Oryctolagus cuniculus: one gene and its partners. The protein of the gene in region 6 interacts with the protein of the main gene of each other region in a pairwise test. Links are inferred from orthologs where the notes say so. Each region holds a gene or a part of one and is shown on either strand. Other genes may lie near its edges.

Region 1 (3,306 bases), on a different chromosome or scaffold from region 6:
GAGGTGGCGGTGCCGGCCGGCTTCGCGGGCTACGTCCTGGCGGCCGAGAAGGCAGACGGGCGGCCGGGGTCCGGGGACGCGGAGCGGGCGCCGCTGGAGCGGGACTTGGTGAGCCACGGCGGGCCCGGGGCGGGCGCGGCGGCGGGGCCGGGCTGAGCCGCCTCCCTCCCTCCCTCCCCAGGACCGCTTTCTGGGCGCCACCGCCAGCTTCGGCCGCTTCACGCTGTGGGGCCTGGAGACCGTGCCGGGCCCGGACGCCAAAGTGCGCGGGGCCCTGACTTGGCCGAGCCTCGCGGCCGCGGTGAGTGCACGGGCGGGGTCGCTGCGGCGCGGGGCCCCCCACGCCGGACGGGGTCAGTGGGGGCGGCCGGGCCCCCGCACGGTTACAGGCGGCTCCTCTTGCAGATTCACGCTCAGGTGGCGGAGGACTGAGAGCCGGAGCCCGTCCCCACCTGCCGACCAGTACGCCCCGCACCGCAGCTGTGCAGAACCCTGGAGGCTCCGCCTACGGAAACGATTTATTGCCTGGTGCGGGGGCCGCAGCCAGGGCCACCCCACCCCCACCTTCTACTTTACAAAAGCCATTTTTACAGTGAAAGTGTCCTGTACAGTTGCCCCCAGCCCCTGCGCACTGCACAAGCCGCCCGGCTCCTCCTGGTCCCTGGTCAGGGCAGGCCGGGCCCGCAGCCAGCTCAGCCTGGGCGCTGACCCGAGCCCTCGGCGGGCCTGGGCACTGACCCGTGGCCCCTGCGGGCCCAGCCCCGTCTGGCGCTGCCCTGCGCGCCTCGCGCGCTGTGCCTGCTGGGGGCGCCGGGTCCCGTGCTCGCCGGCCCCGCGCCCGGAGGCCCGGTCACCACTTCCCCCGCTTGCTCCAGTCCTTGGGGGTGAAGTGCAGACACTTGGAGTCGATGCGCAGCAGCCGCTTCAGCATTGCCCGCTCGTGTCCGTCCACGATGTCCTCGGACAGCGTGAGGATGTACTGGCCCTGGGCGAGAGAGGGCCCGGCAGGGGTCAGCGCCCGGCCCGCACCGGCTTCCCGACTGCCCGGCCCTGGCCGCCCGCCCCACCTTGTAGTAGTTGATGAGGTTGAGGTACTGCAGCGTGGAGATGACGTCCTCCTTCTTGATGCTGGTGATCTCGCTGATCTCACTGCGGGAGGGCAAAGGTCAGGTCTCCCGCGGCCCGGGGCGGGGACAGCCACGCACCCCCGGGGGCGGCCGGCTCACTTGATGGTGATCTGCGGCCGCTCCCCACTCTCGGACTTGAGCCCCATCAGGATCTCCAGGATGGTCTGGGACCAGTAACTGCGATAGGACAGCAGGCCCAGGTCCGACAGGGGCTTCTCTGGGGTCCCCGTTCTCCCTTCCACCTTGGAGAGCTCATAGCCTGGAGCAGGGGAGCAGGAGAGGTGGGTAAGCGGTCAGACAGTGGCATCGCAGCGGGCACATCCTGCAGCAGGGGGCCGGGCCGGACGCCCACTGCTCCACCCGCTAACCTGCAGCCTGGCAGTGCAGGCGGACCAGGGACCTGGGGCCCTGCCGCCCAGTGGGGCCCTGCGGAGCTCCAGGCTGCTGGCTTCAGCCTGGCCCGGCCCTGCCTGCTGTGGGCAACTGGGGAGTGAACCCCTGACCAGACCTGTCTCTGCCTTTCAAATAAAATGAAAAGCATTTAAGAATTAGAGCCACGTGGCTTCTCTGCCCACCACCTGAAGGCGCTCGCCCTTGGCCTGGGTGCTGGGGGGGGCACCTGCAGTCAGCCGAGGCTGGGGGGGTGCCCATGTCCTTGGCCGTTGCTGTGTGGGTGCAGAGGGAGGCAGGGCAGACCCCGCCCTCTGTCCGTCACATTCTGGCTGGGACCTCGGGCTCGCCAGCTGCTCTGGGATGGAGCGGGCTGCGTGGTGGTGAGGAAGGAGCTTCACCAAGCGCTTCCCAGCTGGAGAGAGGCCTCCCTGCCCCTGCCCTCCTCCAGCTGACCACGAGAAGTTAGCTCCTCGCAAGCCCCTTTGGCCCCACCAGACCCCGAGGGGCAAGGCCCTGGGCCGGTCGCGCTTGTCTGCTCTCCTGCCCCTGCTGCACACTGGCCAGTCCCAGCGTCCACCCTGACCTGCTGTGCCTGCAAGGACCACGGAGGGGGTGGGCACCCTTGGGTTCCTGCTCAGCTGTGCGGGTTCATGCCACAGCCGTGGGCAGCAGCAGGTCAGCCAGATCTGGGAGAGTGGGCTGAGGTTTGGGGCCCTGGCCAAGATGGGGTGGGAGCAGTCACCCTGGAGTGTGAGACCTCGGCGAACCCCAGCTTGGTTCCTGGCCGACCCCCTTGGCTGAGCTGCACAGTGGGGGACAGCCGTGGGCGTGTGGCCTGAGGCACCAGCGGCAGTGCACGGGCCCTGGGCGGGGCGGCCACATACTCACTGAACTCAATCAGCAGCTTGCCGTAGCCCCGGCGCTGGTACGGGGGCAGGGTGAGGATGCAGGCCACGTTGTAGTCTTCCGTGGACTCCTTTTCCTGCAGGAGGGGTGGGCGAGCGTGAGGGCAGGGTCTGCGCCCACCCCAGGGCCCCCCGGGGACAGCGGGCAGGCGCTGACCTTGGAGAAGTAGCCCACGATGTGGAAGCCCTTGCAGTCGTACTCCGTCATGACGTAGAAGAGGAAGGGGTCTGTGTCGTAGTACAGCGTCTTGTGGTCCAGGAAGCACTTGGCCAGCAGACACAGGTTCTGGGAGTAACTCTGCGGGGGGAGAGGGAGAGCCCGTTCCCACTGGTGGTGCCACCCGAGAGGGCCCCTGGGCCAGGCCAGCGGGTGGGGTCGTCCCTGCCTGGGGCCCGCGCGCTGTGACAGCGTCCAGCTACCTCCCTGGGGACGGAGGGTCTGCCCCGCTGCCCGCCCCTTCTCCGTCTCAGCAGGGCCCGGGGCGGCTCCCTGGCCCTGCTGTGCTGGACACCAGCGTACAGTTTGGAACGCAGGAAGTGTCTCCGGCCAGGACACGAGGGAGCCCCTGTGTGGCAGTGCTGGGAGTCGCTGTCAGCAGACCCAGCTCTCCACTCACCCCACGGCTGCACCTGCCGCTCCCCGAGGGAGGGCGGGGCTCTGCCTCTTCACCGAGGACCAGCAGGGCCCCCACCCTCAGGGGACTGCCTCTGCACACAACTCCTGGAGAAACCTCACCCCTGGCTCCTCACCTGCGCACTGCCACGCGGGTGCCCAGTCCACACTTCACGCGGAGGGGTGCGTAGGCAGCTGCCGCCTCTCAAACTCCCTGCACGCAGGCCAGGGCCGCCCCCCCTCGCGCTCCAGTCTCAAGTTAGCCTTA
Region 2 (4,273 bases), on a different chromosome or scaffold from region 6:
CTACACCGAGCTTCACTCTGTACCAAATGCAGGAGCCCACAACCCCTATAATGTCTCTTCCCCCTTGGGTTGCACCTCAGGGGGATGCCTGCTGAACCATTCCCCTAATGGTACAGAGGGAGCAGTTCTGAGGTTAAACATCAGCACTTGTCCAAATGAAAAGGCAAGAGTAACTCTTGGCCTCTATACACATTCCCCACTGAAGTAAACCAGAATCATCACTGCACGTGGTTATTGCTGTGCAAATTCAGTGCCTTGTAATAACGGATACTCAGTGAGTTATTGCGTAAGGAAGAACACATTCACTCATAATTCAGGTAGAGAAGAACAAGACAGCCAGGAGAGCAGTAGCAATAGAGATCAAGTGCCCATTCTGAAGCTGCTGCTATTAGTGTTCCTTGCTTAAAGATTTATGCTACAGTTTCATCAGTCTTATGGGCTTGAGGGGTTTTGCATACATTTTAGAAACACATGTAACTTAATGGTTAGGTGTTTTGAGTTAAAACTCATCATGGAACCACATTTATTTATTTATTTTAAAGGAGAAAGCACATTTTATTTTCTTTTTTTAAAGGTTTTATTTATTTATTTGAGAGGTAGAGTTACAGACAGTGAGAGGGAGAGACAGAGAGAAAGGTCTTCCGTCCGTTGGTTCACTCCCCAAATGACTGCAATGGCTGCAGCTGTGCCGATCCGAAGCCAGGAGCCAGGTGCTTCTTCCTGTTCGCTCATGCAGGTGCAGGGGCCCAAGCATTGAGCCATCTTCTACTGCCTTCCCAGGCCATAGCAGAGAGCTGGATTGGAAGAGGAGCAACTGGGACTAGAACCGGTGCCCTTATGGAAAGCTGGTGCCGCAGGCAAAGGATTAACCCACTGTGCCATGGTGCTGGCCCTCTTTTCTTTTCAAGATTTACTTATTTATTTGTAAGAGTTACAGAGAGAGTGAGAGGTCCTGCATCTACTGGTTCACTCCTCAAATGGCCACAATGGCTGGTGCTGAGCCGATCCAAAGCCAGGAGCCAGGAGCTTCCTCCGAGTCTCTCATGTGGGTTCAGGAGCCCAAGCAAGTGAAATTATAAAAATTTAGAAATGACTCTTTGAACTAGACACTAATACTAAAATATTTGAGGCGGCCTCCTTGCTAAATTGTAACAGATGATTATAGAGACAATACTTTCAGACTAAGAGTTCAAGATGAGGGGGACAAAATGAAAGGAAATTCAGCAATACTGGCTTGTCATGGTTATCCAGCTGTGAAAATCTCTATTGTTGTCTGTTTTTCACTTTGTGCCAGTGAGTGCTTTTATGGTATGGGCTAAATGAAACAAATTGTGGTCTGAGTTTGGGAGATTCTAGAGAAGGATCCTGCATGAATAACACCTCCATGTTATTCATAAAGTTGCTGTACCCTGGAATGATTTTTCATTGCCTTTGTAAACTGTAACTTTCCCATTCTCCTGGACAGATGTGAAAGCATGGAGCTGGACAATGAAATCCGGGACCTGATTGAGAGAAGTGCTCCTGATCCAAAAGGGGTCACCCCAGAGGCCACGCCTCATCACAGAAACCCATGTTCTCCCAAGGTAAGGAAACCCGGCCTGTGTATTTTGTGTGATATGTTCTGCAGCCATCTGTTCACCAGGAACTTACGGGGACAGTCCCCACATCATTTACAGTCATTCATGTACTTCCTTGACGACGGAGAGGATCAAGTGAAGCAGAATAAAACTCCTCTCAACAGTCACTTCCTGTTGCCAAAGAAAGCCTCTGGCAGAAGAAGCTTTCCAGTCTGCCATGGCAGGCAGCTGTGGCCACAAAGGCCATAGGAAAAAAAATGCTCCACGCAGTGACAACTCTTTCGGACGGGGTGACCAAATTTAAGCAAATCCATTTAAATTGGGTTACCCAAACCAGCACAACTCATGTCCATGCTTTTTTGGAGTCATTGTTTCTGTTTTGTTTTGAAAGAAAAAAAAAAGCTTTACTGATTAAAGGAGTTGTTTGAATTTCCTCTTGTTTCGGGGTATTTGTCTATGGTGGTTTTATGTAAGCAAATAAAATTCAAGGGGAAGCTTGAGGAAGAAATTTTGTGGATACAAAATGCATCTTTCTAGAAATGTATCAAAAATGACAAAATGAACTCTTAAGCTCTGTAATTCTCCCAGTTAGAAACCATTTTTCATGATCTTTACAAAACATCTGATGAGAGTTTATTTGAGAGCATGGCTGACATTAACAATTACTTACTCCTTCTCTTTAAAATGCCATTAGTTCTTTCTAAGGTAACCATGTTCATTGTATGAAATATGTATACATAAATACAGACAAAATATAAAAATCATATAGAGAAGGATTTACTGTGGAGATAATTGAACTTGGGCTCCCCTAAATAAATAATTACCCTTATAATTAAGTTACATCCATAAACTTGTATCTTTTTCTTGTAAAGGAGGCCCCATAATTGTATAAACATCAGCACTCACTAAACATAGATCTGTCTCAGAAATCCCCAGATGTGCCACTTCTAGAGAGCATCTCTAACACTTGGGTGTCTTCCTGTGTTTTCCTTACACACACACCTGTTTATTCAAATACCTTTTCTTTTTTCAGTTTAATAATACACTGTGGATACTCCCATACCTCTGTCTGTCATTCATGTAGTGGATAATCAGTATTGTATGCCTTCTTAGACCTTTAGATAGTTTTCCTGTCTAAAAACTCATTTCTGCCTTAAAATGCTATTATGTTTTATTTTTTTCTTTAAACTTACAAATCAACATCTGCTAATGGCTAGGACTTCAAAGGCTTCTTCCTCTCCTTTCCTCCATCTCCTCTCACCCCAAACTCCATGGTATCTACCTCTAATTCACAACTGGAATTCTTTACTTCATCAAATGTGTGCTTTCTCCAGTGGGCTTCCTATCCAATGCCACAAAGAAATTCATGGTGATAATTTTATTCCTTCTAGTATCGTTATGCTCATAGTCTCTGGTTATCTCCTGAGTCTTATTTGCTCATGACTGAACTTCCTTACAAGTCTTTCACTCAGTCTTGAGAATCCTTCCTGACATGATAAAAGCATGCTTACTTATACATACTTATCACCATCCTCTTGGTATTAATCAGTTTTGTTACTCTGGGAACTTCACTGAAACGCATCTTCCTCTAAGATGCTTCTACTCCTATTACCTCATTTGTGAAGGTTGTCCATTCTCCTACCTCCACATTTCCAGGTAAAAAGCAGCAGAATCTTAGCTGGCATTCTCAGTTTTCCTGGTGAACTCTAAGGTAAAAGCTTCTACAGAGGGTAAGAGGTAAGGAAAGTTGGAAACACATAGAATGTCATTGGAAACAGAAGAGATAAATAAAACTAAAATGAGTTGTGCTGAGTAGTAGTGAGGGCCACATTTGAAACCATCCCTTATGACAAAACCACTTGCTGAACAACATCGGGGTTCCTATATCTTTAAAGTCTTCATCACCTCTCTCCATCTTAAAATACACTCAATTCTCCTCTACTTTTCAACAGATATTATGAGACCCCATAGTACTTTAAGAGTAATATTATAACTCACTTTTGCATATCATAGCTCAGCTTATTGGACACAGCAACCAAGATTTTCCCTAACCCATCACACCACTAATAACCTCTACTTTGAACAATTGAATAATCACTCTGCATCTTATTTTTCCCTTGTCCACTCATTTGTATCTGATGCTATCCACTAATTCATCTTTCTTAAAATGTCTTTCTCAACTGACATCTATAATTTTAACCCCTGAAATCCCCACACACATATATATCATTTTTTCCTCTGTTCTCTCCTTCTCACTCACCCTCACTGGCTTTCCTTATATCACCTGTTGTGTTACATTAGTTTTGTTGACAAATCTGTCTATAGCCCTTGAATTATTTTTTTAAAGATTTATTTCTTTATTTGAAAGTCAGAGTTATACAGAGAGAGGAGGAGAGGCAGAAAGAAAGAGAAAGAGAAAGAGAAAGAGAAAGAGAAAGAGAAAGAGAAAGAGAAAGAGAAAGAGAAAGAGAAAGAGAAAGAGAAAGAGAAAGAGAGAAGTCTTCCATCCTCTGGTTCACTCCCCAATTGGCCACAACAGCCAGAGCTGCACAGATCCGAAGCCAGGAGCCAGGAGCTTCCTCCAGGTCTCCCACGTGGGTTCAGGGGCCCAGGGACTTGGGCCATCTTCTACTGTTTTCTGAGGCCATATCAGAGAGCTAGATTGGAAGTGGAGCAGCCAGGACTTGAACTGGCAC
Region 3 (4,300 bases), on a different chromosome or scaffold from region 6:
GAGTGAACCAGCAGATGGAGGACCTCTCTCCCTCTCTCTCTGTGTAGCTCTTTCAAATAAATAAATCCTTTAAAAAATAAGTAAACAAATAAGTATACTTAAAAGGTGTAAAACAGACTCACTCACAGAAGCAAAATTTGATTTTCTCCTATTTCTGTATTCACATGGAGAGACCTTTCTCTAGCGGCTCAAACTCAGCAGAACTTACAAAAGGGAGGATGTTACAGAAGCCAAGCATAGATCCCTCAGTCTGCTCCCATTCTACAGAGGAAAACAACAAAAACCCCAGACCTAAAGGGCAGAAGGTGTGGAGGCCAGGGTCCACAGTGAGCTCGAGGCGGAACCAGGCCCAGAGCACAGATCTCAATGCTACCCGCTGGGGACAATCTCTTGCAGGAAGGCACCGGATTCTGAGCAGGCCCCCAGGTCCACGCTACAGAGGTGGGGCAGGCGGGTAGCTCCTGGCCAGCGGGAAGTCCTGTTGCTGGGACTCCGGCTACCTGTCACAGCTGCACGATTGTAGGTGCGCTGGCACCTCGGTTCGGGTCTCAGGAGAAAGAGAGGGAAGAGCCGGCGATGTGGATTCCACTCCAGGAACTCGAAGGGCCAACACGCAAAGAGGCCCCAGGGCCGAGGTGGAAAGTGGAACCTCCTAGCCTTCTTTTGACCTTGACCAAGGTCGTTCCCTCTGGCCTCCTTGGTCCGGTTCGTTCCATAGGGAAGAACCCCGTTTCGGGCTCAGGGAAATGAAGAGAGAAGGCAGGTAGATGGGCAGTCTGCAGCCTGGGGCCGTCCTCCGGCCAGGAATGGTCCCCAGCAGGGAGCCGCCGTGGAGGGCGGGAAGCCGCGGGGCTGCAGCCTGAGGGGGGGGTGGGGAGGGACGGAGGAGGGTCCCGCGCTCTCGGCCTCCTGGTTCCCCTCCCTCCCCTTCTCAGGTTCCTCTGGCCTCGCCCCTCCCTCTCGCATTCCCAACTCCCAAGGACAACTTGTCGCTCGCCTCAGACGCCCGCCAGGGGCTTGTACCGGTGCCCCAGACTCTGCTGGCTCCCCGGCTTCTTTTGTCTATTTCTGCATTGGACGGTTCTCCTGGCTCCGCGTTCCGTGGTTCTGCTTCTCATCTCTCTCTCTCTCTTTCTCTCTCTCTCTCTCTCTCTCTCTCTCACACACACACACACACACACACACCCTTCTCTCTCCCGCCCACCTCGGCGCGTTCCTCCTCGGCTCTGGCCTTGCCCAAGCGCGCAAGGCCCACCCTCGGAATCGCCTGCCCGCCCTCCGGCGCGGTGATCCGACGGCGCCCGGGGCGGGGGCAGGTGAGGTGGCGGGGAGCCCCGCCCGGGCCGACGCGGAGGACCGAAGCGGCCGCGCCAATCCGCCGCCCAGGCCCTGTCCTCGCCCCCTCCCCGCGCCGGCGCCAGGGGGACGCAGGACGCGTGAGCCCCTTCGCGCCCCCAGCGCCGTCGGCGGCGCCGCCCTAGACGCAGACACTGCCCCAAGAGGCCTCAAAGGGGCAGGGGCGGGAGGAGCGGCGACTTCGAGCCCCCACGCCCCTCGCCCCGGGCGCCGCCACCTCCGTCTCCAGGCGCCTGGGTTCCTGCAGGCTGTGAAGAAGCGCGGAGGACGCGCGGTTGGCAGAGGTAGGTGAGGCGCTCCCCGCCCTTCCCCTCCCCGCTGCGGGCCGCGACCACGCAGATCCGAGCTGTGACCCGCCCCTCTCCAAGCCGGGCAGCCTCGTGGCCTCGCCTTTGAGGACGGAACGGCCGTGGCGGCCGTGGGCTACCTGGGGTCACCAGCCTAACCTTGAGCTCCAGGCCGACTGAGCTGCGCGGGTGGCGCCCGCCTTGGCCTTCTTGGCCGCCTGCGCGTCGCGGGCCCCGACTGTTCAAGCGAAGGTGTGCACGGGGGAAGGGAGTCGCCTCCTCTCCGTCCGCCCGCTACTGTAGCTCCCTAGAGGCCGGTGCTGAGTGCTCCGCCCAACCTCAGGCCCTCTCCGCCCGGTCCTTTCGCTCACAACCCCGGATCCAAGCGAGTGTAGCCTGGGAGACGGGAGGTGGGGATCGCTCTTTCCCGATAGAATGTGGAAATTGGCTGGAACTCTGGGCCCAGAGGGAGCCAGCCCCCAGGTCCCCACGGTGCAGAATCTGCTCAGAGAGAGGAGAGAAGAATGCTTGGGGGAAATATTTTGCTTTGGATTTTTAGGGCGACACGGGGCCTTAGCTTTCCTTCCCCTCGGACTGGGAGGGGCTCCGGTGGCCTCCTTCCTGGCAGAGCCTTTATCAGGGTGTGACGGGGTGCCAGGCGCCGCCATCTTAACTGGAAATCCAGGCTCACAGAGGCGCTGCCTGTGCATTTATGTAGCCGGGCCTGTTGTTGCGAGGCAGGGAAAGGAACTCAACCTGGTTGCCGGGACTCACGGGTCCCAAAGAGTGGGCACCGGGCCTGGGGGTGTTGTGAGGGCTCTGAGAAATTAGAAATCTGCAGAAATCTGCCCATGAAGAATCCTTTAGGACAGCGACTGGGACTGGGAGTGGCTAAGCACCTTGTCATGATGGTGGATTCTTACAGACATGCGAAAGAGACGTGGCATGCTGTGCTCCCGAGTGTGCCGTGGTGACGGTGGCAGGCAGGAAACCCCCGTTTTCCTCCGTGTGTCACCTCCTCTTCCCGCAGACTGGGGCACCGCGCAGTCCGCATACCCCGCATACCATGGAGGTGGCCGCGCCTGGAACAGGGCTGTGCCTCCCAGGATAAACAGAAGCACAAAGACAGGCCGGGTCCCGGGTGAGAGGGCTGCTCCCGGGCCTTTGGAGGAAGTCCGGGGACAGTGTGCTAGGAGCTGCCCTCCACACGGCCCTTCTAGGGCTGCAGCTCCTCCCTTTCCCCAGAATCTGCAGCACTGGGCTCCAAGTCCAGAGAGGCCTCTTCACGAAGGGGTCAAGTCTCCCCCATGCCCAGCCATCCCGTCTTCTGCTCCCTGCAAGACTTAGAGCCCCCAGCATAGGCGCAGCACGCACAGCGCCCTGGAAGGAACTCAGGGAACAGCTCTGCTGCCCACCCCCCCCCCCCCAGGCAGGAGGAGCAGGGAGAGCTCACCGGCCCTTAGAGAGGAGCCGGGACCCCCTCCCCCCACCTCAGATCATGGTCAGCTCTACCTCACCACCACAAAGGCACTGACCTCGGAGGGCGGTGGGAGCAGCCAGTGGGCTGGGAACACCTCCTGCTCTAAACTTCTCTCCCTGGCCACATTGAAACCCACATCAGGCTTCAGGAGCTGTTGGGTTAGCAAGAGAACTTGGTTACTTTAATCTCCTTCACCCTCTGCACACACAGAAAGAAAGAAAATCCGGACTCTTCTGGGCATGGTGGTGGGGGGGTGTCTTGTGGCAGCTCCAGCTGCAGTCTGTGGTACTGGCGGGGATCTGGGACCAGCACCCACAGCTGCACTGGCTACCACCAAGGCATCAGAGTAGGCTTAGCGGTGAATCGATGCCACAGCCCTTGGTTCACCCCTAAGATCCAGTGGCACCCACTTCCTCAAAAGGAGCTCAAGATGTGAGGTTTCTGTAGTTTTCAAAATGGGGGAAGAAACAATTGCTGCAGTGTTTGGAGTGGTTAGTATGGAGAAGTCTGTATTTGGGCCAGGAGCCCTGGGCGTACAGGGAAAGAGATCCTGAGTGGTTGGGACAAGTCTGGCCACTCGTGAACGTTGGCCTGTGGCAGGCTTGGTTTTGGCCCTGCAAAGTGGGGAAGGTTGGATTCTTCACCTGTTGGGGATGAGACCAGGGCACTGGAGGTCTACTCCTATCTCCTGCCTGTCTGCTCCCAAGGGCTCCAGAACCCTCTCTGTACCGAAACAATCAGGAACAGTTGGAAGAAAGGGAAAAAGCTGGAAGCATCCAGAATTGGATGCCTCCTGAACGCAATAGGGAAAAACCTATCTCCTTGGCCACTGTGCAAGTTCTAAGTTCCCACTCAGTTTGGCAACGTGCAGCAGGCAGAGTCTCAGAGCTCCCTGGAACCACAGCCCAGTGTCCCCCCCCCCCAAGCTGGCCAGAAGGACGAGGGCCTCACTTCTTCCCCCTGCCTCCCCTTGGCTGCCTTCCGCTTGCTGTGAAAGCCCGCAATGTCAGACTCCTTGAGCCTCAGGTTAGGACGCCTTCTCAAGTGGACAGGTGAGAGGAGTTTGTGAGACTGAGCACGGTCAGCCAGTGCAGGTCTTCACCGCTTTCTCCCTGCAGGGCTCTCTTAGTGCTTGCCAGGTCAGGGCCTCACCCCTGCCCTTAAAGCAAAGGGCCCA
Region 4 (4,112 bases), on a different chromosome or scaffold from region 6:
CAGGTGCTCACTGTGGTTCTCCCAACTATGTAAACGTAAGTGTGGAGGAAAACATACATGAGTTCTATATCAAAACGCTATAATTTTTTCATTGTCATCTGGACTTTTCAAATATCTACAAAGTGTTATCTACACAAGGAAAAATTTCTAAAGAAAGTAAGAAATTAAAAAACATTGAGAAAGTTTAATGCCCAGTAGGGCGTGAATGATGCCTGTCCCTTTAACTGGCAAATCATAATTAAATCACATTTATGTTTTGATATAGGTGTACAATGTAGAATGATTAAATAATTTGGGCTAATTAACATAGCCATCCCATCACTCACTTGCCATTTTTTGTGGTGACACATTCAGAATTCACTTGCGGTTATCTTGAAGGGTATGTACTTTGACAAACATGGCCATTTGCCAGGAGAGGAGGCTGGAATGATGACCACTCTCTTGTTCACATTTCCTCACCTGGATCTTCATAAATGCCACCAAGCTTCAAAACATGGCCTTCCTCGCACAGAACGAATAGAGCCTTCCTCTGCCCCCTGTTGCATACCACCCTGCACCTTCTGCCACACAGCATGTAAGCCTCTCTCGAGAGGCATGGCTCCCTCTGAGAATATCTTGAATGCTCAGCCAAGAAAAATTCACATCCAGGCGCACGATTTTGCATTCCATTTCCTGGGGCTCATGTGCCCCCCGTAGCTCATCTACACTAATATCAAAGCCATGACAGCAAATTTAGGAATGTGTAAACTATACAGGAGTTGTGTAGACCACGTGGAGAAAACACTGGCCTGCGCATATCCAACACCACAATTCGGATAAACTGGTGGCTCATTATGGGCATTACATAGGAGGCGTTTGCTTTGCCAAATACTGTACCTCAGGACATCTATAAATAGCAGACTCATGCGGGGTGTCTGAACCATGCCGCTGCTACCCAAATGCTAAGCCCTTTTCAGAACACACCTACTGCTGAGCGACAGTCCCAGTTCAAAAAGTCTAACACCACTTTCACCCTTGAGTTCTTTGCAGACCACCTTTGCAATGGCCACTACAACTCACATCACTTCAGGGACTGACGGGTGCTCCACGGTAGACACTGAGACACCTAGAAACTTCCAGAAGCAAGAAAGGGTGTGCCCGTGAGGGTGGTGCCACTGCTTTGGAGTGGATTGCATCTCCTGGCATCAGAAGGAAAAGGATACACACTGATGGATGGACACGGGCTCATCTCACCTGTTCCTCACGAGGATTCTGGAAGCTGGGGGCTTCTGTCCTCATTTGCAACTGAGTTTGGGGAAATCTGACATACACATGTCCTGGAGTCAGACAGCCAGTAATAGCCAGAAAAAGAAGAAATTTAAAAAAATGCAATGCTTTCCGAGTCGGCTTACTGTGGCTGAGTAACTTCAGGGGATGCAGGGAACCAAGTCAGCATCACACGGCCTCGCAGAGCCACTGAGGCTGCAGGACCTGGAGACACCGCTGGCCTTTCCTTGCCCCTAGTGACCTGCGCTCTACACTGCCATCCACCTTGCCTTTTCTGCTCCTCGGAGACTGCCTCACAGTGCAGAGCAACCTGTCCTCCCCCGGCCAGCAGCCCGGCACTCCCGACGCTGCCCGTAACCGGCCAGCTCCATCTTACGATTTCCACTCCAGGCTGAGTTGTCATTCGGCACCACACCGCGAGCAGCCACATTTTACTTGATCCTCTTCCAAGATTTCCAAACATGTGCCTGGCACCCAGCGAGCTTCAGAGGAAGCAGAATAGTGACAGAGAAGGACTGCGGCAGGGTTGGTGTCGTGCGCATGTGTTAGCCTTCACTGCCGTGCAAGGGTGAGTTCTTGGAGTCCTATCAACTTCCACAAGGAACATCAACTTTCTCGAGAACGCACTACTTCCTTCTGCCTAGTTTTTTTTTTTTTTTTTTTTTTTTTTTTGAAACCAGCAGCAACGAAAGTTAGGGATGTTAGGGATGAGTCCTGTTCCGAGCCCCTTGGGATTCCGACACCCTTGGCTGGCCCAGTACCCTCGGCCGTCTCCACCCCTTAGCCTCCAGGAGCCACCGCCTAACACCCACCTACACACGCTTTGGCTACAAGCAGGTTCAAAGCACAGAATCCCCCGAAACCCCCAAGAAATGGATCTGTGCACCCGGAGTCAACGGGAGCTGCTGCGTGTGCTCGGCTCCGGTCTGCGCGCGCCAGGAGGCTGGGGGCCCCGGGGATGCGGTCCGGGGTGGTTCACAGGGAGCCCTGTGCAGGTCTCAGGTCCTGCAGCCCCGGCCCAACTAGGGACCTGTCTGAGCCCGGACGCCCGCGCCGGGTCGGAGGAGGCTAAGGTGGCTGGGGAGAGGGAGGGGAGAGTGAGTTTGGGTTCTTTCGGGGCAAGTGTGCGCGGTACCTTGGATTCCTGGCTGCTGGTGGACGCGGGAGAGGGCGGCTGCTGGGCGCTCGCCGGCTCCTTGGGCAGCCCGTCCACGCCGTCCTCGCGGGCGCCGCTCGGAGGGATCATCGTGGCCGCGCGGGAACGGTGTTGGGCTCCCGGGGGAACAGCAGGCTCGCCCTCCTCGTGCGCACTGCCCGCCGCGCGCCCGCCCGCTCGCTCAGCCGCGGGTGCCGGGGACTCCCATCCTCGCCGAGGCGCCGACGTGCCCTCCTCCGGCCGCGCCCCCGCCCGGGGCCCTGCCCACGTCCTGGGCGCTCCCGCGCTCCCCGCCGCGCCCGCGCCCACCTCGCCGGCGACCGCGCTCTGTCGTGACTGCCACCCAGCCAGCGGCGGGCGGGCGGGCGGGCGAGCGGCCTGGGGCTCGCCCGCCCAGGGAGGGGGCGGCAGGGGGCGGCTCCGGGGCGGGGCCGCGCGGCCACCGCGGGAGTGGCGAGGGCAGGCGGGGCGCACCCCCCCACCCCGGGACTCTGCGCCGAGGCTGGGCGCGCGCTGGCTCCGGCCGGGGGGTGTCTCTTCCGCTGGGATGGCAGGCAATTCAGAGGCAGACGCCCATGAATAGAAAAGCCATCAATGATGCGAGCAGGAGGGACCACCTGCAGCAGCCGGCTCAGCCCTCGCCTCGGAGTGAGTGAGCGAGCGAGATGGTGACTTAGCGGAGCTATTTATAGGGTTCAGTGACGGCGCAGGGGCTGAGCGGGGTTCCCCGGCTCAGCTCTGACCCTGCGTGGACACCTGCTCCGGGGCGCGCTGTGCATTGGCACATGTTCTTGCCTTATTGAAGCATCAGTACCACAGCTACTTACTGTCTGGGGTGGGTAGTATCACCTCTGCTTTTTAGGTGAGGAAACCGAAGTTTTAGGGAGGCTAAGGGATTTGCTATGTCGCTAAACTGCAATTGGTGGAGTTGGGATTTTCCTTCATATCCACACTTAGGAAATCTGGAGACACAGGGACAGGCCCACTGGATACGGGTACAGAGGGGCGGTTTCCTGTCAAGACACAGCCTCTGTGTGTAAGAGAAGGAAGTACAGCAGGATAATTAGCCCCCCCCCCCCATTAATACAACAAAACTCCCGCCTTCGTTTTCTAACAGCAAATCGCAAGCTAATGTTTAGATTTTCTTGGTTAACTGTAGGTGCCAGCCTCAGGGGTGTGCAACCTGTGCAGTGACACAGTCCTGCCCTGGGTTCATGACTCAGATGATACCATCTTGAAATTCTCTAATTCATTCCAACAGGGAGCTGCATTTTTATTTTGCGCTGGGCTCTGCGGAGTGTGTCTGGTCCTGCACGCCTGCCCTGGCTTGTGTCTTTGGAAAGAACTGACTACTCTCTCAGTCCCAGACAGGAACCAAGAGCTGCTCTTCTAAGTGGCAGCCTCTTACTGGGCGTTTGTCTCCCGGAGTACTCTAAATTCCATGCTGACTCTTAGCCTCTCATTTAACCGGGCGAGATTGGCTACCCCAAGTGGTCACAGCACTGCTAAACAGAGACAAACGGTGGTGATCAGAGCGTGTGATGACAGGAGCAGTAATATCCACATATCTTTATCAAGCATCTGATTCTTTGTGAGACGGTGTGCTGGAGACTAATGTGCAGCATAGATTAAATCTGTTCTGGTACTTGGGTCTGGTGACAAACACTCAAGAGTATTAATCAAGTTTCTC
Region 5 (2,936 bases), on a different chromosome or scaffold from region 6:
ACTCAAAGCTGCACCTAGACAGGAGAGGAATGGAACGGAAGATGGAGGCAGGTGTCTGTCCCCCATCAGGAGGCGGCGGCGAGCAGTGTGTGGGCAGAGCAGCTCTGCACCCCAGCCCCCTCTGGGACTTACAGCAGGATGGGCTGGTCCGACGTGATGACGTTCCCGTTCATGTGAAGGTTGCACTTCATTGGCTGCCCTGCAAAACCCAAGAAAGAAAAGGCTGTGCTCTGGGTCTCAGCTCCCCACACCAAGGACAGGGCTGCCAGACACGAAGGAGCTCCCAGGAGACACCCTCAGCAAGGACGGCGCCAGGAAGCAGAGTGGCAACACATCCTGCTTCTCAGCCAGTGGGAGACGGCAGCGGTGCCCTGCTCGCCTGTGAAGCCAGCAGTAAGAGAGCAGGTACAGGCGGAGCTGAGTGAGGACAGGCTGCCACGTTCAGACTTCTCTCCGTGAGGGGGGCCTGCTCAGGGCCTCACCCCCGGGATGAGAGATGTGATACACGTCACAGGAACAGCATAAGAGGGGAGCGGAGGAGCAGAGTCGGGGCCCTGTTGTGGCACAGCGAGCGAAGGCCGCTCCCTCATCGTACCGTCCAGACACCGGTTGTTGTACTTCTTATATGCGGTGATAGCATCGTCCTTCTTCACAAAGACCACCTCTGCGACCCCAGGATGGACCAGCCGAGCCCGCTTGAGGGCTCCACACACACAGAAAAGCTCCTGTAAGCAACAAGAGGGGATGGGGTCGGGAGGTCATTCCTGACGGCCTGTCACTCGCACCCTCAACACAGGACTGGCTGAGGGGCAAGTCGCACTAGCAGGGGAGGGCGGTCCGGGTGTCCGTGTCACCACCTCCTCCAGAGCGTCACAGTCACAGCCTTTCTCCCAGAGCTGTCACGGGAGAGGGCAGGCAGGCTCACACAACAGTCAGTGCGTCACCTGAGTCTGGGGTTCTACCCAGCACGACCACAGTCTTGTGCGGCCAGAGATCTCCCAGGACAAGGAAGCTGACGCAGGGATGAATGAGGCCGACCAGCACTCAGGTCACCTCTTCACCTGCGACTGCCTACTCCAGGCTGTCATCAGGACCAGCGCGGCTCCCGCAGGTCCTTGAACAACTTGTTTTTAACCAAAGGAAACACGTTTATATCAAGACTGAAATGTCAGGTGTGAGCCGTTTTCCTGCTGTTACCTCACCGACGCCTGACTGGGTAGAGCAGGAGGCAGAGCGAGTGCTCCTGGCACGTTCCCGAGTGGGGGTGCTTCCAGGCGCTCAGTTTCTCGCCACGAAGCATTTTCCAAGACCCTGTACGCCACGTGCCTGGCTAGTACTTCTGCAATCGGGAACGTGTTTAATTTTCTATCATTTGTCGAGCATCAGGCAAGCAGGCGAGCTTTCCCTTCCCGCACGGACTGTTCACCGCACCGCCAGAGCAGGGGAGCCCAGGCAGCTCGGCGCCAACTTCACGGTGAAGACCACTGACCACCGTGGTGCGCAGCAGGGCCCGTTCCAGAGCCAGCCAGCCAGCTGCATGGCCAGCTGCAGTCCTTTCGTGATCTCACAGTTCAAAGTGCGCCTGGATGGCTAAACGAGTGGTTTTGGGGGTGTCTGCATGCGAACGAGCTTTCAAAGGAAGCTTTCATTCACCAGGCACCTGCCAGGTTCTGCCGTGACTGCAACAACAGGACAGGCAAGACAGAAGGGCAATTCAAAGGGGTCAATCGGCAGGTCCTACCCAACCCTCTTACTCCTTTTACATGATGGTGTCATCAAGGAAACCCCCGAAGAGGCAGGAAGTTCGAGTCTCAAGAGAGGCATCAAGCACTAGGTGCTGCCCAGCAGAACTGAAGGGCCCACTGAGGACCCACCAGACAGACGTCCCCTGTCCCGGACACCCCGCCAGGAAACCGGCCCGGGCGTGGACACTGCACAGGAGTGACCAGAGCCAGCCTGCCTGCTTCCAAGAACTGGGTCAACAGTCCAGCTTCTGGCGAACACCTGCCTTCCTTCTGGGAGGCGGGACTGTCACAGGCTGGCTGCTGGGGGAGCAGCTACGCCGAGGACTCGGGGGCTTGCGCCTGGTCTCCCCCAGCAACACCCACAGCCTTCCTCGTGCTGAGTGGTAAGTCTCAGCTGTGACACAACTACGTGCCGAGTCCTGGGAGACCCAGCAAACCCTGAAACCTGGGCTGGCCCCGGGACCTCTGTCCTAGAACTGATGGGAGCCTAGACACTGGCAGGCCGTGGTACTTACGACGATGTCCTCCTCGGTGACTCGGGGGTGCAGGTTGTTGACCGTCATCTTGGTGCCTTCCAAAGGGCTAAGCACAGGCTGCCACACAGACGACAGGGTCAGCAGAAGCCAGAGCAGGCGGCCTCTCACACAGCAGCACTCGGACTGCGCCCTGAGACCCCGGCACCCCTCACACGCCCACCACCCTGGGCCCTGGCCTCTGGCAGGAATGCTCCTCTGGCCTCCAGACCCTGCACTCACACTGGCTTCCCCCTCCCCCTCCCCCTGCCCCTCCCCAGGCGCTGCGGCGGGAGGAAGCGCTCTCTCCTGGGAACCCCTGTGCTAACAGAGCCGGCGGCTCCTCCCTGCTGGCCCCGCTAGCCCGCAAGCTCTTTTAGGGCAGGGCCCAGGTCTTGAGAATGCGAGGAGCCTGGGCTCACACGGCACACTGACCCAGCACAGGCTCTCGGGTGGGGTGGCCACCTTCAGCTCACCTCAGCAGGCGGCAGCTCTTTGGGGGGCTCCTCCTTGTTCACCAGCGTGCGGGACACGCTGGTCAAGGCTTTGGTTCGCACAGAGGAGGGGAGAGCGGGGGCGGTATATGCGTCATTCTGCACCACTTTGGTGAGAGGGAGGGCCTTGGACACCGAGAACTTGGAACTGCTCAGCCCAGCCTAGACAAACGGGCAGAAAGGAA
Region 6 (4,043 bases):
AGCTCTCTGCTGTGGCCTGGGAGTGCAGTGGAGGATGGCCCAAGTGCTTGGGCCCTGCACCCCATGGGAGACCAGGAGAAGCACCTGGCTCCTGCCTTCGGATAGGCGCAGTGCGCCGGCCGTGGTGGCCATTGGAGGGTAAACCAACGGCAAGGGAAGACCTTTCTCTCTGTCTCTCTCTCACTGTCCACTCTGCCTGTCAAAACAAAACAAAACAAAAAGAATCCCAGCATCCTATACCCTCTCCCTATACAAGGCCTTGAGTCCCTGTGCTGTCCCCTGATCCAGGCCAAACGCCTTCCTGACATGAGTAACAACGCCCTGACCCCCCCCCCCCCCCAAGGCTCCTCTTCCAAGTACTGGCACGAATCTCATTTCTCTCTGGGCCCCAGACCACTGCTCCCTGGTCTGCACAGGGCCACCAGGCAGAGATGAAGGGATCGGAAGCCTGCACAGGGCCACCTGGCAGTGGAGGCCCAGACCCAGACCTGCAGCCCCACGGAGACCAGGACTCAGGTTAGGCAAGAAGCCCTCTCTCCCAGCACCTGGCCCAGGTCCCCAGTCTCCTGGGACAGGTGGCCTCGTTACAGGGCAGTTTGGGCAGCGACAACCTCAAGGACACCACCAGCAACTCAGACAATAATTAGGGAACAAAGAGCCAAGGCCAAGCAGCGCCCCACCTCCCCCTATTGGGCCTCAGTTTCTCCCAGACAGAGAGGCGGCAAGGGTGGAGCTGGCCAAACAGGCAGTCCACAGCTCTCAGGGCACACACACCTGCCTCCTGGAGGTGATGCAGGCACTTGCTTGTTTCTATGACAACCCCTACCCTCTCCATACCCAGTCAGGGTGTGACATGGGGCCTAAAGGAGCCTTCATGGGCGCTGCCCGACTCCAACCTCTATCAGAAGCTTCCAGCTTCCGCCATCTCCAGAGAAACCCCGATGGAGGCGGAAGCCCCACCATCACTTCTGGCAGCTGCTCCAAGACCTCACCACCTCCCCGGGCTCTGCTCCTTCCTGGAAGGGGAGAGCAAGCCTCCCTGGGGAACTCCCTCCGGTCCCGAGGCCGCAGAGCACCAGGGCTCTGGCATCTGCCGAAATCATCATGCAGAACGTGCAGGCCAAGGAGGCGGACAGAAAACTTCCTGGGAGTAGGAATGTGTGCGTGTACAGGTCTTCATGGCCGCCTTTATGCCCAGGGGCAGCAGAGTGAGCACTGCGTGCCAGGAATAATGCGTGTGAAAACATGAGTGTGTGTTTGGACATGTTCAATACATACACCCGTCTAGGTGTGAACTAACGTGTGAACCTCACACGTATGCGTGTGTAATTAAGGGTCACCATGCAAGTACGCAGGAGTAGTAAATGCACAGGTAACAGGTGAGTGTGCTGAGATGCTGAAGAGGAACCCAGGACATGGGTTCCCCCCCGCGAACTCCTGTGTGTGCACAGCAGGCCGGCCAGAGCCGGGTTACCCACAGAGAAGGCTCTGAGGGCAGGCATGTCGGGCACCGGGGAGTGCGAGGGAACCCGCCAGTTTTCACTCTGGAGTGTGGGGAGAGGGGGAACCACCTTTGTCCGAGCTGTTCCCCTTCTTTCTTGCTTGTGTTCCATCGAGTTCATCCCTTTCCTCTCTACCCAAGTGAAAAGACACCAAGAACCAGGTCGGTGTCAGTCCAGACTGCCGGAGGAGCTGCTGGGAGCAATGGTGGGCCTGGCTGCAGGGCTGGGGCCTGACAGCACCCCAAGCTCCAGCCCTGGGCAACGCGGGCACCCGGGAGCCTCCTCCTCCCTCTGCAGGGCCACGTAAGGCACGGACAGGACGGGGGAAGGGGCTGCTAAGGGGGCCATGCGGGCTGGCATTTCTGTCCGCATTTCTCCTCTTCAGGGAGCACAGAGAAAAGTGAAAACTGAAGGAAGGCGATGGGCCCACTCGGAGAAAGAGCCAAAGGCCGAGACAAAGGCTCAGGGAGGCGCGGGGGTCAGGCGGCCAAGGAAGCCAGGCAGGCCGGCCCATGGCGCCAGGCCCCGGAACCGCAAGAGGCCAAGGCCCCCCAGACCCAGAGCGACGAAAGCCGGCCAGCCAGGCCCAGCCAGTAGGACTCCCGCTCTCAGAGCCCGACTGAGAAGGAGGGGCAAGCCGAGGCTCCATTTTGAGAAATGCGCCGTGGCTGTGGGCAAAGGGAACCCCTCGCTCTCCCGAGTAATCGCCGCGGTGGGCAGGACGGAGGGCTGAGGGCTGGGGCTCAGCCAGGGCCAGCGACGGCTCTGGCCGCGCTCCGAGCTCGCGCAGACCTGTTTTGGGGGCTGAGGAGTTCGGGAAAGTCGCCCTCCCACCTCAACTCCAAGAACAGTCACGCAGGCTCAAGTCTGGGATCCGAGTTCCCATTCCGAGGCAGGAAGCCGGGACCCCTCCCCCCGCCCACCCCCACTCAGCCGACGACCCCCCCCCCCCACCAGCACGGCGGCCGCCGAACGCCGCCTCCCCTCCCGACGCCGCCGCACAGAAGTTGGGGGCGACCCCGGGTCTCCTCCCGGCCCCGGCCTCCCCCTCACCTCCGCCGCGCTGCTCCATGCTCAGCCCCGGGCCGCCCCAAGCGCTCCACAGGCGCGCCGCCCGGCTCCGGCCCGCGCGCGGCCACTCGGAGCGGCCCGACCCGGCCGGGCCCCGCCTCCGCCTCGGCGGCGCACCCGGCCCGGGCCAGTCCCCTCCCGGCCCGAGTGGGCGGCGCGGCGCGGGGCGGCGCGGGGGAGGGGTCCGAGGGGCGTCCCCGCCCCGGGGCGCGGACACGCGCAGGCACCCCACGTCACGCGTGTCTGCTGGGGCGCACGCAGGGGCTGCGCGGCGGCGAGCGGGACCCCTCCCGCCGAGTCTCGGTGACTGCGTGTCGGACGGCTCGGTCGGCTGTGGATTCGGCGGGCGGGTCACCCCCTACCAGAGCCGGGCCCCGGGGCCAGCGGCAGCTGGTCATTGTTCGAGCACAAAGGGCCAAGGCGCGGCGCGGCGGCCCCTCCCCCTCGCTTCTCTAATCGAAGCCCGCCCCAGACACTCTCCAGCTTCAGAGTCCAGAGCGGGAAGCCGAGGGTCAGCTGCCCGCCGCTCCTCGGCTGCCGGGGCCCTGCGCCCCAGCACTAGTCGGGGGCCGCGGCCAGGTCCCTGCCTGGCCCACCCCACAGCGGGCTGGAGGCGGTACACGAGGATCTGCGGAGGCGGCGCCACCTGGCGGTCGGTTCTCAGAGCACATCTACTCGCCCCCCGACCCAGGGGGGTCTTCTCCCACTCCACAGCCCGTGCCCGTGGACGCCAGCCCAGGCCTGCCCTTGGCGCGGCTCTGGACTCCCCAACTTTCCCTTGGAGTCGCTGGCTAAGAGAAGGGTCATTGCCCGGGGAAGGGCGGCTTCTGGCCTCCCCAGTGGAAAGGCACAGCCCAAGCCTACACCAGCTTCCCACCAGACAACATTCCACGGTCTCCTCAGGGTCACGCATATGCTCACCCTCTTGGAAACAACATCTTAACACCCACACGACCTTTCCCACATTCAGTCTCGGGCAGCCGCAATCGCAGAGCTTCATCCGTCACGTGGTCCCCCAGGCCTCCTTCCATGCACTCCCAGGCCAGCTCCCGCGCAGCCCCGCGTCACACCGGTTGTGCATTAAGTCTTTCACAACAACTCGCAGGCCCTCGCACCTCCCAGCATCTTTCACATGCTGACAGCCTCGCAGTACTCACAAACAGCTTCTCATACTGCACACCGTGTTTTGCATGCACTCTATCACACAGACCTTTCCTTAGGGGTCTCTGTGACCTGGCCAGGTCAGCTGATGCCCGCTGGCCTTGGCGAGGACGGCCTCCCTCGCCCAGACGGCAGCCCTCCCCCGCAGGGCCAAGGCCAGCCAGAGCTGGGCTCTGCCCCAGGAAGGAGCATCCCCCCCTTCCAGGCCACAGCCCTGGCCGGCGCTCAGCTCTATTTTTAGCTCGATGGGTTGTTTTTCTTTCTTTTTCCCTGGAAAGGGAAACATAGCCCAGCCAACCTCAGGCTCAC
Region 7 (3,934 bases), on a different chromosome or scaffold from region 6:
GTGCCCAGTGACCATTAGCTATCACCAGCTCACTCCTGGGCTTAGCATCTCAGTCTCCGCGATTGGTTTACCTTCCTAGGGACGTGGCATGAGACATTTACTTGGGGATTCATTCTGGCTTCTGCCCCCTCAGAAAGCCACTTAGTTTTCCTACCTGTAAAATGGGGAGGGGAGAGAGGCTACTCATCCTAGTTTTTCAGGATCAGAAGAGAAATTTCCCTTTTAGGCACAGATTGGGGGGGGTGGCGGGAACATGACCCAGTAGGAAGCCAACTTCCCAAGATCTACCCCCTTCCCCTAGGGCCCGGTCACTGCAGACTCACGCGGATCTTCTTGTAATCACACAGGTACTCGACTTCAAAATCATAGAGGTTCCTCTTAGAGATGCCAAGGGCAGGACAGGAGAGCTTGGCCAGGCGGCACAGGTCCTGCAGTTGATTCCAAGAAGACTTGCAACACACACTGCAGCCTGGAACGACAAGGCGGAAAGAATCATTACTGGGCAGCCTGACCTGGCCAGGGGCTCCAAATCCTCTCTGGGCTACCCCAGACGTAGTGAAATTGACCCCACAGGTCTTCCCCAAAGTGGAAAATTCTGCAACAGCCACTCCAGGGAACCTCAGTGCTTACTGCCCAAGGCTACCCCTGGGGCAGTGAACTTCAAAGTGCCGCCAAGTGCCATTTGCTATAGGGATTGGCCTAAAGGAATCTTCCCAGACCTTCAGACTCCCTCTACACCAGTCCTAAAACAACCTAGGTTCTGGATCACCTTTCTTTCCACTTTGCAAAAGAAAGGGACAACCCCCCCCATCTCAGTAGGGTGCATTGCCCAGGGAGGGGGTGGGGAGGGGAGGGGATTAAAACCTCCAGGGCACCAAACAAAGGCATAACTGGAAAGACTGGTCCTCAACCCCTTATCTGAAGCTCCTGGGCTGGATGAGTTTTAGAATTCAGCATTTTTTTGGATTTTAGAAGTGTAGCTCTAGGTATGTCCTGTCCATGTGCAAACACTCCCAGCCTGGACAGGCACATCAAGCCATAATCAAGTGCACTGATCGCTCTGTAGCAAAAGTGCAAAGGTTCACATTAAGTAGTTGAAATAAAGATGTAAGATAAGGTAACCTCACTGGACAGTCCGACCTTATAATCAATCTCCTTTTGCCATGAATGGTGCCAAATTTAAGAAAAAGCTTTCAGCACTCAGATTTTGGAATGATGACTACAGGACTGTGGAATGATACTATGTTACAGGAAGCTTCCTTGAATGGTTAGTCTGGGGACTTTAAACCTACAAAGTTTGTTTCTTCCACACTGCATTCTGACTTTCTGTCTCAATCACATTTCTGTGAAAGGTGAAACCGCTCTGAAGTCAGCAACAGGCAAAGCAATATAGGTTAGTGACATCCATTCTTTGAAACATACCTGGAATCTTTCTGGGGCTACCAAGATCATTCAAGACGGATTTTTAAAAACAATGTATCCTTCTTTCTGATGCAAGGCACCTTCTTAATTAATATGCTTTAGAAGCCATTTTATCAAAGCATGTCACAGAGCACTTCAACTCCACGTCCCCACTTCGTCTTTCAAAACTGTCTAATATTTGCTACCTGCCTGCCATTACAAAACTCCAGCCTATTTAAACTTATGACGAAATAGCCTAGATGTCAATCTAGAAATGTACAAGAGCTTTTCGTAATTATTCCGTGGGCTCCCCCCACCCCCTAGGCAAGGCCTAGTGGAGACTCTAAGCCTGGGCCCACGCTTTCCTCTCCTTGCGATGCAATCCCCTCGCATACACGTGAAATCCGCCCCCCCTCCAACCCTCGCAAGTGGTCCCTGTTAACACCTCCTGCCACGGGCTCAGGCGCGGACCACAACTGGGCTCTCCTGCCTCGCAGAGGTCCCCCTCCCACTTGTGGAACGCACACTCCTCGCAGCTGTCCGCACATAGAGGAGCTCCCCCAACATGGTCACCCCGCTTTCCTTGCACATGGGGGAGTCCGGCTCTCCCAAGAGGGAAGCTCCTATTCCCCTCAGCTGGAGGAACCCTCTCTCTTGAAGAGCCCCCTTGGGGGTCCGTCCCCGCTTCTTTTCCCTCCCCTTCCGGCGTCTCGCGTGGACACCGTAGGGGTAACGGTCACCGGGGGCCGGTTTTCCCGCGCGCGGGCGAGGCCTCCCCGACAAGCCCCTGCGCGTGCGCGCGCCGCTCCGGTCGTGATCTGCAACGCGCGCGCCCCTCTCCCGCGTCCCCACTTAGCCCCGCGGCCACCGCGTTCCGAGGAGCGCGCCCCCTCCCCTCAGCCCCGCCCAGCCCCGCGCACCAGGCCCGCGCTCCCCGAGCCCCTTCCTTTCTGCGCCGGGTTTCCGGCTCCGGGCTCCGTGGCCTTGGACGCCAGGACCCCGAGCCCGCGACGCCACCCCTCCAGCCCACCCGGCCCGGCCAGCGAACCCGCGCCTCTGCCGCCACTGCTTCACCTTTTAAATTTTCCGCCATCTTTCCCCACGGCTAACGACATTCGGGCCTAGCCGGCCTCGCGAGAAGAGAGCTCGCGCGGGCGTGGCCGGGAACGCGCAGCCTATTGGCCGCGCCTCCCCGCGAGCAGCACCGGCGAGGACCAACCGGCGAGCCGTGACCGGACCCCTCCCCGCCACCCGGCTCGGTCCCGGAGGCGGGTGCTCGCCGCGCTTTCCCAGAGTGCGTCTGGGCGGCGGCGGCGGCGGCGGTAGCGGTAGCTGAGGGTGCCCGAGGCCCTGCCCGTTCGCCGGTCTGTCTGTCACGCTGGTAGCCAATCACGTTGTCAGCCAGTCGTACGGGGGATTCTCCGTCCTGTCAGACCCCCAATTACCTCCGTCAGTCAGTCCGTCACCACATTTTAACCCCAAGCAGGCCGTGACCCAGCGTGGAGCAGCGCCACGGACAGCTGCCCAGTCAGTTGTCCTATTCAAATAGGCGATGGGTCAGTCTCCCCAGGCAGGTGTCTCGCCAGGCCCCGCCTCCTTCACATGCTCTGTCAGTCAATGGCAGCATCCATTTGTGCCTTGGGCCAGCTGCGACTCCCTGGAGGCAGGCACCCAGCTGTTAGCGAGGCTGCCCTTCCCGCAGACGGTCCCCGCAATGCAATGGCGCGGGCCAGTCAAGCAGCCCTTGCCCAGGGACCAGCTCCTAGGTAGATCCTCTCATCAGCTCCAGCATCCAGCCTTGGCCTCAGGCAGGCAGGCAGGCAGGCTGTGATTAGGTCAGGACAAGCTGCCGTTGGTTACACCCCACGCACACCACCCAGCTAGGCCCCAGAGCAGAGCCATAGCAACTAGAGGGACAATTATGTTTCCATGCCACCTGTCATTGGCTCAGCCAGCCTGGCCTTTCCCCGGCGACTCATCTCAGCCTCAGGCAACGGACCATGGGTCCTTCAAACCTGTCACTGCCCTCTGCTTCTCTGGACCCCTGGGAGAGGCTGGCATCCTGTTAGGGCGCACGGTCCATAACCACATAGAACCATCGAGGCAAGCAGCTATGTCGGTCTTGCTGCTGGCCAGCTGCCCTGTGACCCATTCCACCTGCCTCTCATCGTAGTCAGTAGCCCACTGATCTCAGCATCTAGAGGGTGACAGGTCAGCCAGCAGAGCATGGAGCCAGGCCCTTGAGTGTGCCGTGATTCAGTGGAGGTGGACCGTTGGTGGCAGATCTGGTATCTCCATTCCCTCAGGCCAGGCCTGATTCCTGTGGCTCCTCTCCCTCTTAGTCCCCGTGTTACATAGTGCACCAAACAGTCATGCAGTTAATTCAACAGATATTCCATCTGCCTACCAGGCCAGCTGTGAGCTGGCTGGAACATGGCTAACCTGTCTGGCATTCTACCCTGCCTGCCACGAATTCAACAGTCAAGGGCTTAGCTAAGTCCTACCTCAGTCCCCTAGCCCTATTCTAGAACAG

The links.
Region 1: the proteins of LZTS2 (region 6) and KAT5 interact in binary tests that used the Homo sapiens proteins (3 or more experiments, as listed by UniProt). The two-hybrid records come from large-scale screens. The link is inferred for Oryctolagus cuniculus from reciprocal best matches to the Homo sapiens genes LZTS2 and KAT5.
Region 2: the proteins of LZTS2 (region 6) and TNIP3 interact in binary tests that used the Homo sapiens proteins (3 or more experiments, as listed by UniProt). The two-hybrid records come from large-scale screens. The link is inferred for Oryctolagus cuniculus from reciprocal best matches to the Homo sapiens genes LZTS2 and TNIP3.
Region 3: the proteins of LZTS2 (region 6) and HOXB9 interact in binary tests that used the Homo sapiens proteins (3 or more experiments, as listed by UniProt). The two-hybrid records come from large-scale screens. The link is inferred for Oryctolagus cuniculus from reciprocal best matches to the Homo sapiens genes LZTS2 and HOXB9.
Region 4: the proteins of LZTS2 (region 6) and STAC interact in binary tests that used the Homo sapiens proteins (3 or more experiments, as listed by UniProt). The two-hybrid records come from large-scale screens. The link is inferred for Oryctolagus cuniculus from reciprocal best matches to the Homo sapiens genes LZTS2 and STAC.
Region 5: the proteins of LZTS2 (region 6) and POLDIP3 interact in a two-hybrid assay, tested with the Homo sapiens proteins (2 studies listed by BioGRID). The two-hybrid records come from large-scale screens. The link is inferred for Oryctolagus cuniculus from reciprocal best matches to the Homo sapiens genes LZTS2 and POLDIP3.
Region 7: the proteins of LZTS2 (region 6) and SUV39H1 interact in binary tests that used the Homo sapiens proteins (3 or more experiments, as listed by UniProt). The two-hybrid records come from large-scale screens. The link is inferred for Oryctolagus cuniculus from reciprocal best matches to the Homo sapiens genes LZTS2 and SUV39H1.

Annotation. Positions count from the first base shown.
Region 1 is NC_091432.1:6,000,398-6,003,703, forward strand, and holds the end of KAT5 (histone acetyltransferase KAT5), read right to left. Parts: intron 2,724-3,306; coding exon 2,583-2,723; intron 2,503-2,582; coding exon 2,409-2,502; intron 1,681-2,408; exon of another isoform or gene 1,387-1,680; coding exon 1,227-1,386; exon of another isoform or gene 1,150-1,226; coding exon 693-1,149; 3' UTR 501-692; downstream 1-500. Other genes in the region: RNASEH2C (ribonuclease H2 subunit C), read left to right, coding at 1-108, 182-301, 406-432. UniProt on the Homo sapiens protein: Catalytic subunit of the NuA4 histone acetyltransferase complex, a multiprotein complex involved in transcriptional activation of select genes principally by acetylation of nucleosomal histones H2A and H4.
Region 2 is NC_091439.1:44,137,664-44,141,936, forward strand, and holds the start of TNIP3 (TNFAIP3-interacting protein 3), read left to right. Parts: upstream 1-1,473; 5' UTR 1,474-1,475; coding exon 1,476-1,583; intron 1,584-4,273. UniProt on the Homo sapiens protein: Binds to zinc finger protein TNFAIP3 and inhibits NF-kappa-B activation induced by tumor necrosis factor, Toll-like receptor 4 (TLR4), interleukin-1 and 12-O-tetradecanoylphorbol-13-acetate.
Region 3 is NC_091448.1:24,915,318-24,919,617, reverse strand, and holds the start of HOXB9 (homeobox protein Hox-B9), read left to right. Parts: upstream 1-1,500; 5' UTR 1,501-1,640; intron 1,641-1,802; exon of another isoform or gene 1,803-3,029; intron 3,030-4,300. UniProt on the Homo sapiens protein: Sequence-specific transcription factor which is part of a developmental regulatory system that provides cells with specific positional identities on the anterior-posterior axis.
Region 4 is NC_091435.1:172,772,036-172,776,147, reverse strand, and holds the start of STAC (SH3 and cysteine-rich domain-containing protein), read right to left. Parts: upstream 2,801-4,112; 5' UTR 2,513-2,800; coding exon 2,402-2,512; intron 1,835-2,401; exon of another isoform or gene 1,020-1,834; intron 1-1,019. UniProt on the Homo sapiens protein: Promotes expression of the ion channel CACNA1H at the cell membrane, and thereby contributes to the regulation of channel activity.
Region 5 is NC_091442.1:118,371,710-118,374,645, forward strand, and holds part of POLDIP3 (polymerase delta-interacting protein 3), read right to left. Parts: intron 2,914-2,936; coding exon 2,734-2,913; intron 2,339-2,733; coding exon 2,261-2,338; intron 726-2,260; coding exon 596-725; intron 200-595; coding exon 133-199; intron 1-132. UniProt on the Homo sapiens protein: Is involved in regulation of translation. Is preferentially associated with CBC-bound spliced mRNA-protein complexes during the pioneer round of mRNA translation. Contributes to enhanced translational efficiency of spliced over nonspliced mRNAs.
Region 6 is NC_091446.1:28,872,964-28,877,006, forward strand, and holds the start of LZTS2 (leucine zipper putative tumor suppressor 2), read right to left. Parts: upstream 2,801-4,043; 5' UTR 2,556-2,800; intron 2,418-2,555; exon of another isoform or gene 1,693-2,417; 5' UTR 1,623-1,692; coding exon 1,572-1,622; intron 1-1,571. UniProt on the Homo sapiens protein: Negative regulator of katanin-mediated microtubule severing and release from the centrosome. Required for central spindle formation and the completion of cytokinesis.
Region 7 is NC_091453.1:33,884,486-33,888,419, reverse strand, and holds the start of SUV39H1 (histone-lysine N-methyltransferase SUV39H1), read right to left. Parts: upstream 2,801-3,934; 5' UTR 2,495-2,800; coding exon 2,476-2,494; intron 470-2,475; coding exon 324-469; intron 1-323. UniProt on the Homo sapiens protein: Histone methyltransferase that specifically trimethylates 'Lys-9' of histone H3 using monomethylated H3 'Lys-9' as substrate. Also weakly methylates histone H1 (in vitro).